4 linked regions of the Macaca mulatta genome follow. The protein of the gene in region 1 binds, or shares a complex with, the protein of each later gene. Links are inferred from orthologs where the notes say so. Each region holds a gene or a part of one and is shown on either strand. Other genes may lie near its edges.

Region 1 (3,562 bases):
GATTTTTAAATTAAATTTAATTTAATTTAATTTTCTTTTGAGACAGAGTTTCACTTTTGTTGCCCAGGCTGGAGTGCAGTGGTGTGATCTCAGCTCACTGCAACCTCTGCCTCCCAGGTTCAAGCTATTCTCCTACCTCAGCCTCCCGAGTAGCTGGGATTACAGGCGCCGGCCACCAGGCCTGGCTAATTTTTGTATTTTTAGTAGAGACAGGGGGTTGCCATGTTGGCCAGGCTGACCTCAGGTGATCCGCCTGCCTCAGCCTCCCAAAGTGCTAGGATTACCGGCATGAGCGACCACGCCTGGTCCATTTTTAGATATTCATTATTATTATAGTATTCATTTCTTCTGATTTTAAATGAAATTAAAATTAAAACATTTTCAAGGACCCGTAAGAGTGCCATGGGCCTGTTGGATCTTGGCCCTGCGCCTATTAGATCTCACAGGGAAGACGACCCTGGGGCTCCACCCAGTAGGGGTCTGAGCCTAGTCTTGCCTTCTCTTCTGCCAACTTTAAAACCCCAACTTGGGCAAAGTGCTCAAAGAAAACTATTCCCAAACCCAGACTGATACCTGCACCTCAGAGCTGAGAACATTGGGAATGGGCCACCTCCATCCCATTCGCTGGCCTTCTGCAACTGCAGCCCTTGGGCCACGACTCCAGGAAGCTGTTCCTGGTTAATCCTGCCAGCACACCCCTTCCTCCTGGAAGCCCTTGCAGTGAACTGTCAGTGGGACCTCCAGAAGCTTCTGGCAGTTTCTGGTGAGCTTCTCAGCAGAGCACCCAGCAAAGACCAAGCGCTAGTGTCATGGTTTCCCTCTGCAGCCCAGGTGCAGGCAGCTGGGGGCCTACCTGGGCAGTAAATCGTCCACACTTTGGACTGCTCATCCACGTCCAGAAGGTGCCTGCTCTTCATCCTGTACAAGTCTGGGTTCACATCTTTTGCTGTCCTCATTCCCAGTGCCTGGGCGATGACCAGGGCCCTCTGGGGACCATTGTCTTTGAGAAACCTGTAGATGTCTTCCTCTGGGAGGCAGGACGGCCACGTGGTTAGAGAGGAGTCCTAGAATTTGCATCTGCCTCACCCACCGCTTTCTAGCTGTGTGGCCCTGGACCCAGCCCCTCGAGGCCTGGTTTCCTCATCTGTAAAATGGGCACCACGATAACGGGGTCATGATGACGCACCGCAGAGGTGCCCTGAGGATGGGGGATGTGCACGCAGTGCTCTGCCCTGGGCCTGGCACATGGTGGGTGCATGGTGAGGGTCAGCTATTGTCTGACTGGAGAAATCACTGCTCGACATTCAGATTCTCCCGCTGTCAGGGCTGGGTCTTGGCTCTGAACACTGTTTGGGAGCCACCTGGTGGGTGGGACAGGGCCCCTGAACACTGGTGAGATCTCGTACCCTCAAGGAGGGCCTGGGGTTCCTGAGGAGTGGGATCCTGTGTCCCGGGAGCTGAAGGGGCATGCAATGACTTACCCCGCTGTTGGCTGAACTGAGGGCTAGGGGTCTCTGGAACTGTAGCTACACATTGCTGGGGCCTCTCGGCTGGAGAAAGAAAGACGGGTCAGAGGGGTGGGGGACAGAAAACAGCACCAGGGCTCCACCCCACAAAGGTGGGCAGCACCCTAGGGTGAGCTGCAACGCCGGTAGTTGCAAACTCAGACTCCAGAGTTAAACACACTTGACATCAAGTCCTGCCTGTGCCCTGGCAGCTGCGGCTTCCTGCTGGTTTACTTCTCCGGGGCTCAGCCTGCTTTGCCTCCTGGGGTTGTGTGAGGGCTGGGTGAACCCTGAAACAGTGCCCAGCTAATCTTAAGTGCATGACAAATGGCAGCTCTTTCTGGCTGTGGGCTGTAAAGCTAGAAAAGGGGGGCTGGTGGGACTGAGTGTGTTCTGTGATTAGGACCATCATGTCATTGCTGTTTCCATCATGATGATTTTCTGTTATAATTGTTAGTGTTCCGCTGAGTACTTTCTGTGTGCAGGGCTGGGCTGAGCCTGATGCAAGGCCTTCTCTCAGCAACCCCTACCAAGCAGCCCTGCTGTCAGCTCCATCAACCAGAAAAAGAAACCAAGGCACAGAGATGAAACCCATGAGCTCCCAAGTGGCAGAACTCAGATTCGAACCCAGGCTCAAATCTGTGCTTGTCCATTGCCAGGATGGTCCCTGCCTGGTCAGACCCACCTCCCCAGGGTGGCAGTTACCAGGGCTGGACAGGGCCAGCTCTGCAGGACCCTCGCCTCCAGGACCAGTCCCGCCCAAGCGCCAGGTGGCGGGGGCTGTGAGGGAGACTTTCAGCTCCTTTAGCATTCGGTAGAGGACTTGGTTGAGCTCCCTCTTGGGTGCTTGGCATTCCTTCACCAGCTGGGCAAGCTTCACTGGGGAGCCAGCCTCTGTCAGCACCTGCAGGATCCTCTGTTCAAGGTGGCCTGGGGGAGTGAGCGGGGGACAGAGATAGGGACTGAGTCTCCCGGGTCCCCACAGATGAGCCCAGGCTGGAGGCTCCAAGAGGCACGTGAGGCCCCTTTTTGAGAGGTGTCCAGGGCAGAGGAGAGGGCAAAGACCCCAGCAGATGCCCCCTAAGAGCAGCAGAGCAGCTGCCCCTGCCCAGAGAGAGGCATGCAGGCTGATCAGAAATGGCCTGGCAGCCAGAGGAGGTGCCGCCTCGCCTGTGCCCTCCCCGGGTGTGGGTGCCAGGGGGCAGTGGGGTTCCTCAGCTCTCAGGTGTCCTCAGGGCAGAGGGGAGTAGAGGGCAGAAGGACGGAGCCAGAGGGAGGCAGGGGGACCTGAGAGCACAAAGGCAAGTCCTGCCTGGGTGTACCTGATGCCCATTGCCATCCTCCCTGGGAATCAATCGCCTCTTCTCAGCTCACCATCCTTCCATGGTGCCACTATCCATCGAAGCCAGAAACCGACCAGACATCAGAAACAGACCTTTCCCCCAGTGCCCAGTCGTGGAGCCCTGGAAATGCCATTCTTGGATTTTCTGGAATTGCCCCACTCCTCTCTTCTGCCGGCACCACCCGCTTCCTCACCACCATCTCCTGGGTGCAGCAATAGGCTCCCGGTTGGCCCACCAGCTCCAGTCGGGTACCCTCCAGATCTGGCTCTGCCGACCACCCAGCTTGACCTGCACCTGCTCCCAACTTCCCTCCAAGTGCTGGCCTGTTTGTGCTCCCTTTAGCCCCACTCACCCCAGCCCCTTTGCACACACTGTTCCGGCTGCCAGGAACACCCTTCCCCCACATCCCAACCTGTATGATGTCTACTCAACCTCCAGCCTCCTCACATGCCACTTCCTTGGGGAAGCCTGTCCCTGTGTTCCAGAGTGGCTGGGATCTGCTTGTGTGTGGGTCCCCTCGTGTCCCCTGCTGTACTTGCGTGGCTCACTGTTGTACCGTCAGCATGTAGCACAGTGCTGGGCACACAGGACGTGCTCAGGAAATGGCAGTTGAATGTATGAGTGACTGAGTGAATGAATGAATGAATGAATGGGACCAGGAGTGGTGGCTCACACTTGTAATCCTAGCATGTCAGGAGGCTGAGATTGGAGGAC
Region 2 (4,341 bases), on another chromosome or scaffold:
TTTTTTTAATTTTATTTATAGACATGGCGGGGGTCTCACTATGTTCACCAGACTGGTCTCAAACTCTTGGCCTCAGCAATCCTCCAGCCCTGGCCTCCCAAAGTGCCGGGATTACAGGCATGAGCTATCGTGCCCCGCCAGCTGTTCTTTCTTTGCAGCCGATATAAAGTAGGAAAAAACACAATTTACCGGTGACCGAATGTTCTGGATTCCCAGGGCCTTTCTCCAGGTCCGCAGACGCCCCTCCATCCGGAGTGGGCCTTGCCTGAGCGCCTGTTGCCGAGTCCGGATTCGCAGCTGTCGTTTCCTCTACAGTCAGGAGAGTTTCTGGATTTGGGGGCGCCTTCTCCCCTGTGGAAATGGTGAACTCAAGGCTTTTAGGCCGCTTCTTTCCCGAGGGCAGGTACACTTCGAAGAGCCTGCACTCCTTCCGCCCTGGCGCGCCCCCCGCCAGCCCCTGCAGCCTCCCCGCGGAGCTGGCGTTCCTGCGCAGGAGGACCTCGGCCTGGCCTGGCTCTGGCGCCCTGCAGGGGCTGGGGCCGGGGCTTCTCCCGCCCGGCAGGGCCGGGCTCCGGGTTCGAGGCTTGCCCTGCACGTCCAGGCTCTCCGAGGCCTTCTCTCTGCGTTTGCTCAAGGGCTTCCTTGACAGCCCCCTCCCGGCCTCGGGCTGGCTGTACCGCAGGCTGGCAGCCCAGTCCCCGCACGACCGAGGGCCGTTCCCCTCCTTTCCCTCCTTCCCCTCGGGGTGGTCTGGAGTCTTCAGGCTCCCGGGCTTGTTCTCCTCCAGGGAGCTGGACGCTGCGGAATCGTCTGTGCCATTTTCTTGTGTGGAATATTCTGGAAAGACAACCAGCTACAAAGTCATGAAGCTGTCCCACGTTTAGGGCCCAAGATTCAGGGGAGAGGAGAGAGAATCCCCATGGATATTAAACTTTAGAAATGGAGGAAAAAACGGGCCGGGCACGGTGGCTCATGCCTGTATTCCCAGCACTCTGGGAGGTTGAGGCGGGAGGATCACCTGAGGTCAGGAGTTCAAGACCAGCAGGGTGAAACCCTGTCTCTACTAAAAATACAAAAATAAGCTGAGCGTGGTGGCATATGCCTGTAATCCTAGCTTCTCGGGAGGCCAAGTTGGGAGGATCATTTGAGGTCAGGAGTTCGAGACCAGCCTGGCCAACATGGCAAAACCACGTTCCTACTAAAAATACGAAATTTAGCCAGACGTGGTGGTGTGCACCTGTAGTCCCAGCTACTCTGGAGGCTGAGGCATGAGAATCGCTTGAGCCTGGGATGTGGAGGTTGCAGTGAGCTGAGATTGCCCCACTGCTCTCCAGCCTGAGTGACAAAGCGAGACTCCATTTCAAAAACAAAAGTTCAGGACTTCCTAGACAACGGCAGTCAATTACCATTCAGTAAGAACATGCTTGATGTTGCTACATATTTATCTCTCTCTTATTTTATTTTTTGAGACCGGATCTTGTTCTGTGGCCCTGATGTGATCTCGGCTCACTGCAACCTCTGCCTCCCAGGCTCAAGCGATCCTCTCACATCAGCCTGTTTTCTGTTTTTTCAATAGCTGAGAATACAGGTGTGTGCCACCACACCTGGCTCTTTTTTTTGTATTTTTGGTAGAGACAGGGTTTCACCATGTTGGCCAGGCTGGTCTCGAACTCCTGAGCTCTAGCAATCTACCCACTTTAGCCTCCCAGAGTGCTGAGATTATAAGTGTGAGCCACCATGTATTCCTCAAATAGTACTTTTCAAACGTTGTAAGCAGGACAACTGTTTCAAATAAGATCTTACACAGGTCAGCAAAACCCAGATTATACATTTCAAAAATAAAAATAAACCAGGCACGGTGGTCCATGCCTGAAATCCCAGCACTTTGGGAGGCTGAGGCGGGAGGATCACTTGAGGTCGGGAGTTTGAGACCAGCCTGGCCAACATGGTGAACAGCACTGAAAAGATTCTATACCAGCCCCGTTCATACGATTGCATAGCAATCCCTTTTTGCTAACCTAGAGATGTTTGTCTGACATGAGTATTAATCATAAATGAAGTGAAGAAGTCTCAAAGAATAGGTGCTCCAGCTCCTGCCTTTCCTGACCCTGACCTGCTTCTTTAAAACCCATTGGGAGCCTTAAGGAAGTTTACTAACCCAGTGCCAAAAGCCAGAGTGAAGGAAGGGACGTTCCTGAACTAAAGTCACCTGGATCTTGGTAGACCTGAGACTCCCGACCCCCAAGTCAGAGTGAGCTGCTCTGAGCTCCTGGTCCCTTTTCCCACAAAGCAACCAGGCCTCAGTGCTGGGTGAGGAGGCAGCCTGGGCCCGCTTACCCTGAACGGCTGCCCTGTGGAGCTCCTCAGCCAGCAGGCGCTGGTTGATGGCCCGCAGGACCTGCAGGGTTAGCCGCACAGCGTACTCTTCCCCGTAGTAGGTGACCAGCAGACTGGCCATCTTCACTGGCCTGGCTCTCTGGATCTGGCTCCGGGGGATCCTGGAGTGCTCCTTCTCCACACTGGTGTTCTGCAGCTTGAACTTGAACTTCTCAAAGTCATAGGGCACCAGCTCCTCCAGGGTGGACAGCAGATGGTCACTAGGGGTCTTGGCCATGGCGCTGAGCAGGAGACGCTGGAGCTAGCTGTCTGGCTTCTGGCAGGAGAAGAAGCCTCTACCTTGGTGAGCAAGAAAAAGCAGGTTGTGAAATAGCGGAAAAGGCACAGGAAATGCTCTGTGTCTTGGTGGGAACTGAGACTAAGGGTAAGGGTGTGTCCATGCTGGCTGTGTTCTCTTCTCACAGGTTCAGAGGATTTTCCAGCTGGGAGGGCTCAGTGCCTTGGCAGACATCTGTCCCCACACCCCTCCCAAACCCTGGACCTCATCTCCACACTAGACCACAGACAGGTGGGCAAGTCTGCAAGGGAAGGTCTAGGATTGGATTCCAGACAACCCCTCCAATCTCCCTTCCTGCCAGGATCTGGGGCTGGCAGAGCGGGTGAATGGGAACAGAGAGGACTATGCTGAGGGCCAGCCCTGCTGGTCAACTGTTCTCCTCCAGACTCAGGGTTTCACAGACCCTCCAGAGCCAATGGCATGGGATGGGGGAAGGGGTGGGCAGTAAATACAGCCCCGTGAGCTTTGCCTTTCCTGGCCCAAGAAGGCAAGTGAGGCCAGAAGGGCACTGCCGGGGGATAACTCTTGCCACGCCATCACCCCTGTTGATCCAGTTCCAGTTGTCTGGTTCTTCCAGCCACATGAAGGGCTTGAAAAGCAATGCCTCGACCACCAGCCTGACTCATCTGTTCCCAGAGCTGACTCAGTTCTCACTCCCTGGAGCCAGAATGCCCTTCCGTGCACATTCACTGAACATTCTAGACAGTGTGCCAGGATGCTGGAGCTACAGGGGTGAAAAGGCACGGGTGTCCTTCAGCTCATAGTCTGGTGCAGGGCCCCAGAGGTGGCTTTGAAGCTAACAGAAGTTACATGTCGGGGGCTGGACGTGGTGGCTCACGCCTGTAATCCCAGCACTTTGGGAGGCCAAGGTGAGTGGATCACCTCAGGTTGGGAGTTCAAGACCAGCCTGGCCAACATAGTAAAACCCCATCTCTACTAAAAATACAAAAATTAGCCAGGCATGGTGGCACGCGCCTGTATTCCCAGCTACTCGGGAAGCTGAGGCAGGAGAATCGCTTAAACGCGGGAGGCGGATGTTGCAGTGAGCCGAGATTGTGCCATTGTACTCCAGCCTGGGCGACAGAGCAGGACTTTGTCTCAAAAAAATAAAAAATTACTTGCATACCCTAATTTTTTAATTTTTTGTTTTTAGATAGGGTCTTGCTCAGTCACTCAGGCTGCAGTGCAGTGGCAGGATCTTGGCTCAATGCAACTTCTGCCTCCTGGGCTTGAGCAACCCTCCAACCTCAGCCTCCCAAGTCGCTGGGACTACAGCTGCATGCCACCACATCCGGCTAATTTTTGTATTTTTTTATAGAGACAGGGTCTCACTATGTTGCACAGGCTGGTCTTGAACTCCTGAGCTCAAGCGATCCACTCGCTTTGGCCTCCCAAAGTGCTGGGATTACAGGTGTGTAATCCCTGTAATCTGGCCACTGTGCCCGTCCAGAAGTTTTGTTAATAATGCAGTTTACCCTTCACCAGCACTTCCTCTGCACCAGCCACCACTTGCTTTATAAACACTACCTCCTAGAATCTCTAGGACTGTACCCTGCAGGACTGCATTTATCATCCTCCTCTGCAGCCAAGAATCTGTAGCTTAGTGACTTGCCCAGAGCCAGGATCCAAACATCAAACCACTTCACAACATCGTCTCCTGCATGACA
Region 3 (3,562 bases), on another chromosome or scaffold:
CTACACCTTCTAACTTAAAGCCTGGGAAAACAACCACTCCTTTCTCATTAGTGCCTTAGAAACTACCTCACAGTTTACATCTGTATAGAATTATGGACCTACATAGTATCACTTATGTGGCTTCATTTAACCTTCTTATAAACCATGTGTGAGAAGCCATGTCACCGTGTTGTACACCCACAAATGCTATTAAAAGCTGTTGTAATCTTTGCTGTTACGGTTTTACTTTGAATCCTAAAACTGTTGCATTTGGAGACTCTCATTTGGGACAGTCCTGGAGTGATATGCTCCTTTGTTAGCTCTTTTTTGTTCTTCAGACATGAAGCCGGGACGTATCAATTGTTCTTGGTAAACAAAATCAGGAATTTAAACTAAATGTATATAATTCAGATGGAGATGATGAGTGATTTATTGAATAATGTTAAAAAAGTCTTTTTGCTGTGGGTAATTTATACTGTCACTGGAGATAGAGAGGAGAGAGAATCCCTGAAGGAGGATTCTCCCTCCCTGAAGAAGGAGGAGATCATCCCCTAAAGAAAGCAGCATAGTCTGGGACCATAGAAAGATAGGGACATGGAGAGAAATAAACAGACTGTGTGAAGGAAAAAAAGGTGCTCAATATCCTGGTTTACAATTTTCCAATGCAATAATTTATATTTTTGAGACTTCAGTAGAATGTGAGAGCATTACATACTGTGGAAATGGAGTTGGGAAAAGTTAACTTTGAAATTCTACATCCATATTCACTGTAATTGAACTGGAGACAAAGATGGGCAAGGAGAAAAGATGATAAATGGAAGTGGTCACCCTAAAGGCTGGAACAAGAGATGCAAACCAAGGCTGGAATGGATTTGTGGAATTTGTAACAAACACTTCCTACAAGTGATTCTCAGTAAAAGGGGGCAAAGAGACAGGTGCACTAAGTTAGCAAACAAATTCCAACAGTGTGCACTGGGGGTCATATCCCAGGGACGCCATGAAAGGAAAGGCCCAGGCTTGGCAGAGAAAGGGACTGGGCAGGTGCGGGACTACCACATTACCTTTCTCCTTCTCTTCCTGAAGACGTTTTGCCAAAAGCATATAATTCAACTTCTGAAAAATAAGAATGGTCTTCTTCACTGCAGTCACTGCACCAGCATTTTGAATCATCAAGTTAGCTACTTGTATTCTGTTTGCAGTACGTAGTTTGCCTGTGGCGACATTAAACTCGTCTGAAAGAAAGAACTTAAACCTATCCAGTTCCTCATCAGTGATGTTATCCAGGCCTGTTAGCAAGAGTATCTCCTTGTATTTACTCTCCATCTGACGACTTTGGGATCAACCTATAAGGAATCCAAAGCATGTAAGATTACAACACCAAAAGGGATTCTACATTCAAAATAAAGCAAGGTGAGCTATTAATATTTTTAAAGAAAAATAAACAAAATGTTTGCAGTAGTAAAAGAGATTTGAATGGGACATAGGTAAGAACTTCTTAAGCAAGGTGATCCCTATTCCTGGGAAAGACATCTTCAGAAAGTATACAACACCTCTGGAATTCTTAGAAAACAGGATACATCAGCTGGGCATGGTAGCTCACGCCTGTAATCCCAGCACTTTGGAAGGCCAAAGCGGGCGGATCACCTGAGGTCAGGAGTTTGAGACCAGCCTGGCCAATATGGCAAAACCCCATCTCTACTAAAAATACAAAAATTAGCCGGGCGTGGTGGTGGGGGCCTGTAATCCCAACTACTCAGGAGGCTGAGGCAGGAGAATCACTTGAACCAGGGGGCGGAGGTCACAGTGAGCCAAGATCGCGCCATTGCACTCCAGCTTGGGCGACAAGAGCAAAACTTTGTCTCAAAACAAACAAACAAACAAACAAAAAAAAAAAACACTACAACAAAAAGGAAACAGGATACATTTTCCTTTTATTTTTAAAATAGATTTATCGAGGCATAACTGGCATACAACACAGTGCATATATTGGAAGTATACAATCTGATAAATTTTGGCATATACATATACCTGATGAAGTGCAATTAATCAATTTGTTCTTTCATGGATCATGCTTTCACTGTCTTATTTAAGAAATCTTTTCCAATCTCAAGATGAGAAGATTTTATGTTTTCCTCTAAAAATATTATGGTTTAATCATTTTATTTGGGTGTATGTACCGTTTTGAGTTATTTTGTATATAGTATAAGCAATGACTCAAAGTTCATTTATTTTTCATATGAATATGAAATTTCCCAGAACCGTATATTAAAAAGACTATCCTTTTTAACGATTTTTTTTACCTTTGCAAAAATCAGTTGTCCAAATATGAGTGAGTCTATTTCTGGATTCTTTATTCTGTCCATCAACCTATTTTTGTATCTTGTTGCCAAAATCACATTGTAGTAATATAGTTGTTTATGTATAGTATCCAAAATAATACACAAAACATTATAAATAATAATTCAAAAGTTTGTAACTATAAGATTAATATGCAGAAATGCATTCCTTTATTCTAGCACCACTCCAAGAGTGAAAAAAATCACGTAAAAAAGTAATTTCCAATAGCAACAAAACTACAAAGTACATAAGAACATCTAATACAATATATTTAAGAGTTTTAAAGGGAACCTTATAAAACTTCATTGGGAGATTTAAAAGACCTACTTAAGTGGGTGTATGTGTGATATTTTAAATGGGAAAACTTGATAAAATGAAGACAGCAATGTTGTCAAATTAATCTATAAACTCCCATCCAAAATCTCAAAGGGTTTTTCATAGAACTTATCAGAATGATATTAAAACCTAAATGAAAAAAATAAAGACAAAAACCTGCAAAACATGTTGAATTGTTTATTAGGATGTAGTATCCCTACTACTAGGTATCAATACTTACTACAAATGTATAATAATTAAATCGATATGGCAGTTGCATAGAGAAAAATGAACTAATAAATAGAGTGTGGAAACAGGACCACATGTAAGTTAAAGCATGGTACATAATCAAAGTGGCGTTAAAAATCACAAGGAAAGAATGGCCAACTATAAAAAGTATTCAGTCAAATGATAATATTCGGGGAATGATATATTTGGCCTTTCTCTTATATCATACACAAATATATATCTGGCTGGATTAATTATCTAAACAGAATAGTAATGATGTTGAATAAAACACAGAATTTCTCAATACATTGAAGTAGAAGGAGGTTTCTTAAACAAGGCACAAAAAGGACAAGCCAGAAAAAAAAACAAACTTTGTCAAATGTGATTGCATGCATATTCTTAATTTCTTTGTAGGAAACACACACACACGTGCACACACACACACTAAACAAAGTGTTTATATAAGGCAAAAACTGGGCAGATACCTGAAATATACATATATATATATATAGCTAATAGAAGTTTTGCTTTTGGAATACATGGAGAACCATGTATCACTAAGAAAACAATAAACAGTCTATTTGAAAAGTGTGCAAAAGATGTGAATGAGCAATTTGCTCAAGTATCCAATAAACATAAAAAAGATGTTTGACATTATTAGCAATTAATGACTTCCAGAGCAGCAACATATAAAGTGGAAGAA
Region 4 (4,309 bases), on another chromosome or scaffold:
AGAAACTCCTAGCACTTAATCAGTCTAAGCCAGACTGGCCTCAAGATCTGGAAACTGCACGGCCCTCGGCAAGGCTCTCAGAGGGACTGCTACCTCTTCCACTAACTTCATGGTTTCCCATCCACACTCACATATGAGGATCACCTCCATAGCCCCAGGGCCACCCAACCTCACTCTCAGCAGCCTAAAAAACTCCAGAATCAAAGGCCTTCTCCCAAAAGGCCCCTCTGACCTTAACAAAGGGGCAAATCCTTACCTTACTCTCACGATGGTAACACCTTTGTTACAGGCCTCTCCACTGCCATCTGAGCATCTAAGACAAGAGCAAACATCTAATGAAGGATGAAGGGCACAGCCAGCTGTACTTCCTGTTTCGAAACTCCTAAGTCACAAACACTAGAGGGGAGGGAACGCTTACCACTTGCCCCTGAGTGAACAGAGCACCTTCTAAAGCTTCTAAAGCTGGAGGAAAAAGGCCTGATGGTCCAAGAGACTGCCTGCAGGGTGGGGCGGGGCATCTGGCCACCTGAGCACTGGCCCCTGGCTATGATGGGCCATTTTACCTTTGGGGCCTCATTTCCACATTCCAAAATGAGGACGTTGGACTGGATTGTAACTAAGAACACTTTCATTTCGTATTTAGGATTTAAAGATTTTTCTGGGTTCATCATTAAGACTTTAATTTTTTCATTCAATGAATCTTGATGGAGCACCTCGGAGAAGTCTTGAGATTGGACATCGCAGAGCCCTCATCTTGGTTCTCAGGGTGACTGTGAACGTTCAGAGCTAAAGCCCCTGGTTTAGCCAAGGAGCATCTCTGTGGCCCCAAGTCACCAGATTCCACTCTCAGCCGCCTAAAAAACTCTAAAAAAAAAAAAAAAAAAAAAAAAAAAAAAAAAAAAACTCTAAAAAAGAAAAAACTCTAAAATGAAAAACCTCTAAAAAGAAAAAAACTCTGAAATAAAAAAATTCTAAAATGAAAAAAATCTAAAAAGAAAAACCTCTAAAATGCAAAAACTCTTTGGTAAGATGGTAACCCTATCTTACCAAAGGTGATCCTTGTATATGAGTGTAGCTGGGGACACCACGAAGTTAGCCACAAGATGGGTTTACCATCTTATCAAAGAGGCAAATCCTGGGGCCCTCACCATGTTGGGCTCTAGGGACAGATCAGTAAACAAAAGATTGCCTTCATACTGAGAGTTAGACGAAATGTTTTCTGATGTTAAAAGTAGGAAAAGAAAATCAAGCACCTCTCTTCTTTGAAACTGCCTTTTGTCTTTCCCCAAATAGAATATAAGCTTTCAGAGGGCAGGGACTCATAGCTGAGAAGACTGAATGAAGTATCTGAAAAGGACTCTTCACCAGAGAGGGCTAGGTCAAGGTGGCCTGATAACATCAATGCCTGGATGGCCACAGTGGCTCATGCCTGTAATCCTAGCACTTTGGGAGGCCAAGGCGGGAGGATCCCTTGAGCGTAGGAGTTTGAGACCAGCCTGGGCAACATAGTGAGACACCATCTCTATGAAGAAAAATTTTTGAATTAGCCAGGTGTGGTAGCACACGACTGTGGTCCCAGTTAATCTGAAGGCTGAGATGGGAACATTGCTTGATCCCAAGATGTCGAGGCTACAGTGAGCCATGATTGCACCACTGCACTCCAGCCTTGGGTGACAAAGCAAGATCTTGTCTCAAAAAATAAATAAATAAAAAAGAAATAGAAACAGAATGAGTAAAATAAAATGCCAATAGTATTAATATGCAATAATAATTGCTAACTCATGTAGTAAGTGATGTGTGCGTATTATCTCCTTCAAGCCTCACAGTCACCTCTCAAGGCATTATTAATCCCATTTAACAATGAGATAACAGAGGTACAGAGGAATTACTTACTTGCCTGAGATGGCATAGTTAAAAAACAGTGTACATATACAAAAGAAAAATACATTTTGCAAAGATACAGATAAATTCACGAATCCACATCAAAACATTAGAGAATTATCTTTGGGGAGCAAGAGAGAGGGCAGGAGGGCAGGGGTGGGGGTGGAGACATAAAAGGAAACCCTTAAGACACGGAAGAGGGGTAAGCGGTCTGTGCACCTCAGGGCACTGTGATTCGACAGAATAAAGAACTTAACCCTCGGCCCCAGAGCCAAATGAAAAAGAAAAAAAAAGTGGATTGATAAAGTTTTCTGGACTCTCCAAACGGGTTCACAGGAGGGAGACCGTGTATCTGTATTCCAGGCAGTAGGGAAGCTGGGAGGACAAAAAGGCAGCAGAGGAAATGGAGACTGCTCAGAGTGAAAAAGTAGCAAGATCAGAGGCAACAGCTCAGAGAGAAACCCCACAGGAGACCTGGCCAGGCAGCACCCAGAGGTGTCCTCAGCCGGGCAGATCCAAGCTTCTTCCCCGCCCCCACAGCCCTGTTTCTAGAGCAACTCAAGAAACAAAAATATGTGGTTTCCTGTTGAAGAGGCCACCTCGGCAACAGGCACTCACCCGCTCCACCCTTTCCTGGCACCATCGCAGTCTCTGAGCCCCCTAACCTGCCTAACTCCACGTGCTCAGTGGGGAAGGGGGTGGGACAGGCTCCCAGGAAGAAGTTTCTTTTACTTTCAGTAACCACCCTGGCTCTTCTGCCTCCCTCCACCGCCTCACTTCCTGTTGAGTTGACTAGCAAATTCAGGAGGCTTGAAAAAAAAACACAAGAGATAAAAGGAGGAGAACCTGTGAAAACACTTCCCTCCAGCAGAAGGGCAGAACCTGGTCTCCAAGAGAAAGAGAAAACTTCACAGCAGAATGAACTGCAGGGTAAATTTTACTCCTAAAGCAGAACAGAGATGACTCACCCGAACAAGAAATGTTTCCTATTTAAAGGAACAGATGCCCAATTTCCAACCATTCAGAAGAGGGAGGTGGCAGACATTTCATGGACATGCAAAACTAAAACCCCGAGCGCTGGACGTGCTTTATTGGAAAGCATTTATACTGACTCCATTTAGTAATCATAACCCCTGTCGGTGACAAGTAATATGCCATTCTTCCTTGCAAAGGGTCTGGGAAGAGGAAGTTTCCCTCTGCCTTGATCCAAACCTCAGCACTGAAGTCATAGACCAGCCCTCTCCTCCCTCCCTACGGACTGGGTGAAGCCACCCCTGTAGCTGAAATGTAGGTAGACTGTTCACAAAAAAAGGAGGAAGTGTTCTGACTCAGCCCTACTTGGCTCAGCCCTAAACAGAGCTAAACAGCCCTAAATAGGGCTGAGCCAGGACACTTCAGTTCCCTTCTTTGGCCATGTTCTCCAGTTTAGTTGTAACCCGTGTCTTTGTAGCATTGATCCTGGAGTGTTGGTGCTACTGAGGTCTGTTCCCCAAAGCTCTGAACCCCAGACCCTCCCTTGTTCTCTTTTTTTTTTTTTTTTTTTTTTTTTTGAGATGGAGTCTCAGTCTGTTGTCCGTGTAACAGTACAGTGGTGCGGTCTTGGCTCACTGCAACCTCCACCTCCTGGGTTGAAGTGATTCTCCTGCCTCTCAGCCTCCCAAGTAGCTGGGACTACAGGCACCCACCACCACGCCTGGCTAATTTTTGTATTTTCAGTAGAGACGGGTTTTCACCATGTTGGTCAGACTGGTCTCGAACTCCTGACCTCAAGGAATTCACCCACCTTGGCCTCCCAAAGTGCTAGGATTAGAGGCATGAGCCACCGTGCCCAGCCACTCCCCTGTTCTCTGCCATCCGCCTCTGTTTCCCATGTGAATTTTTTTTTTCTTTTTTTTGGGATGGATTTTCGCTCTTGTTACCCAGGCTGGAGTGCAATGGCGCCATCTCGGCTCACAGCAACCTCCGCCTCCCGGGTTCAAGTGATTCTCCTGCCTCAGCCTCCTGGGTAGCTGGGATTACAGGCATGCACCACCATGCGTGGCTAATTTTGGATTTTTAGTAGAGACAGGGTTTCTCCATGTTGGTCAGGCTGGTCTCAAACTCATAACCTCAGGTGATCCACCCACCTCGGCCTCCCAAAGTTCTGGGATTACAGGTGTGAGCCACTACACCCAGCCATGAATTTTTAAAAAGGGTTTTCTGCCCTTTTGCTTGCACATCTTGTACATTTTATAACCAGAACACCAGAAGTAACATATTACCTGTATGTTACACCTTGACATGAACTATCTCTAATTCTTGCAGCAATTCAGGGTATTGTTCTCCCATGTTATGGATGAAGAAACTAAGGCTCAAACAGTTCCATGGAGTCAAACTCAGTCCTGCTGGGCCAAAACAGAGATTTTTCTATGACACACTAACTCCCTTT

Evidence for each region.
Region 2: ZBP1 (region 1) and MEFV share a complex: the UniProt entries of both Homo sapiens proteins name them as parts of the AIM2 PANoptosome complex. The link is inferred for Macaca mulatta from reciprocal best matches to the Homo sapiens genes ZBP1 and MEFV.
Region 3: ZBP1 (region 1) and AIM2 share a complex: the UniProt entries of both Homo sapiens proteins name them as parts of the AIM2 PANoptosome complex. The link is inferred for Macaca mulatta from reciprocal best matches to the Homo sapiens genes ZBP1 and AIM2.
Region 4: ZBP1 (region 1) and CASP8 share a complex: the UniProt entries of both Homo sapiens proteins name them as parts of the AIM2 PANoptosome complex. The link is inferred for Macaca mulatta from reciprocal best matches to the Homo sapiens genes ZBP1 and CASP8.

What each region holds. Positions count from the first base shown.
Region 1 is NC_133415.1:110,416,279-110,419,840, forward strand, and holds part of ZBP1 (Z-DNA-binding protein 1), read right to left. Parts: exon of another isoform or gene 2,436-3,562; coding exon 2,211-2,435; intron 1,551-2,210; coding exon 1,482-1,550; intron 1,028-1,481; coding exon 854-1,027; intron 1-853.
Region 2 is NC_133425.1:4,490,025-4,494,365, forward strand, and holds the start of MEFV (pyrin), read right to left. Parts: upstream 2,814-4,341; 5' UTR 2,615-2,813; coding exon 2,338-2,614; intron 838-2,337; coding exon 190-837; intron 1-189. UniProt on the Homo sapiens protein: Involved in the regulation of innate immunity and the inflammatory response in response to IFNG/IFN-gamma.
Region 3 is NC_133406.1:107,851,351-107,854,912, reverse strand, and holds part of AIM2 (interferon-inducible protein AIM2), read right to left. Parts: intron 1,323-3,562; 5' UTR 1,303-1,322; coding exon 1,041-1,302; intron 1-1,040. UniProt on the Homo sapiens protein: Sensor component of the AIM2 inflammasome, which mediates inflammasome activation in response to the presence of double-stranded DNA (dsDNA) in the cytosol, leading to subsequent pyroptosis.
Region 4 is NC_133417.1:106,371,414-106,375,722, reverse strand, and holds the start of CASP8 (caspase-8), read right to left. Parts: upstream 2,856-4,309; 5' UTR 2,525-2,855; coding exon 2,500-2,524; intron 314-2,499; exon of another isoform or gene 257-313; intron 1-256. UniProt on the Homo sapiens protein: Thiol protease that plays a key role in programmed cell death by acting as a molecular switch for apoptosis, necroptosis and pyroptosis, and is required to prevent tissue damage during embryonic development and adulthood.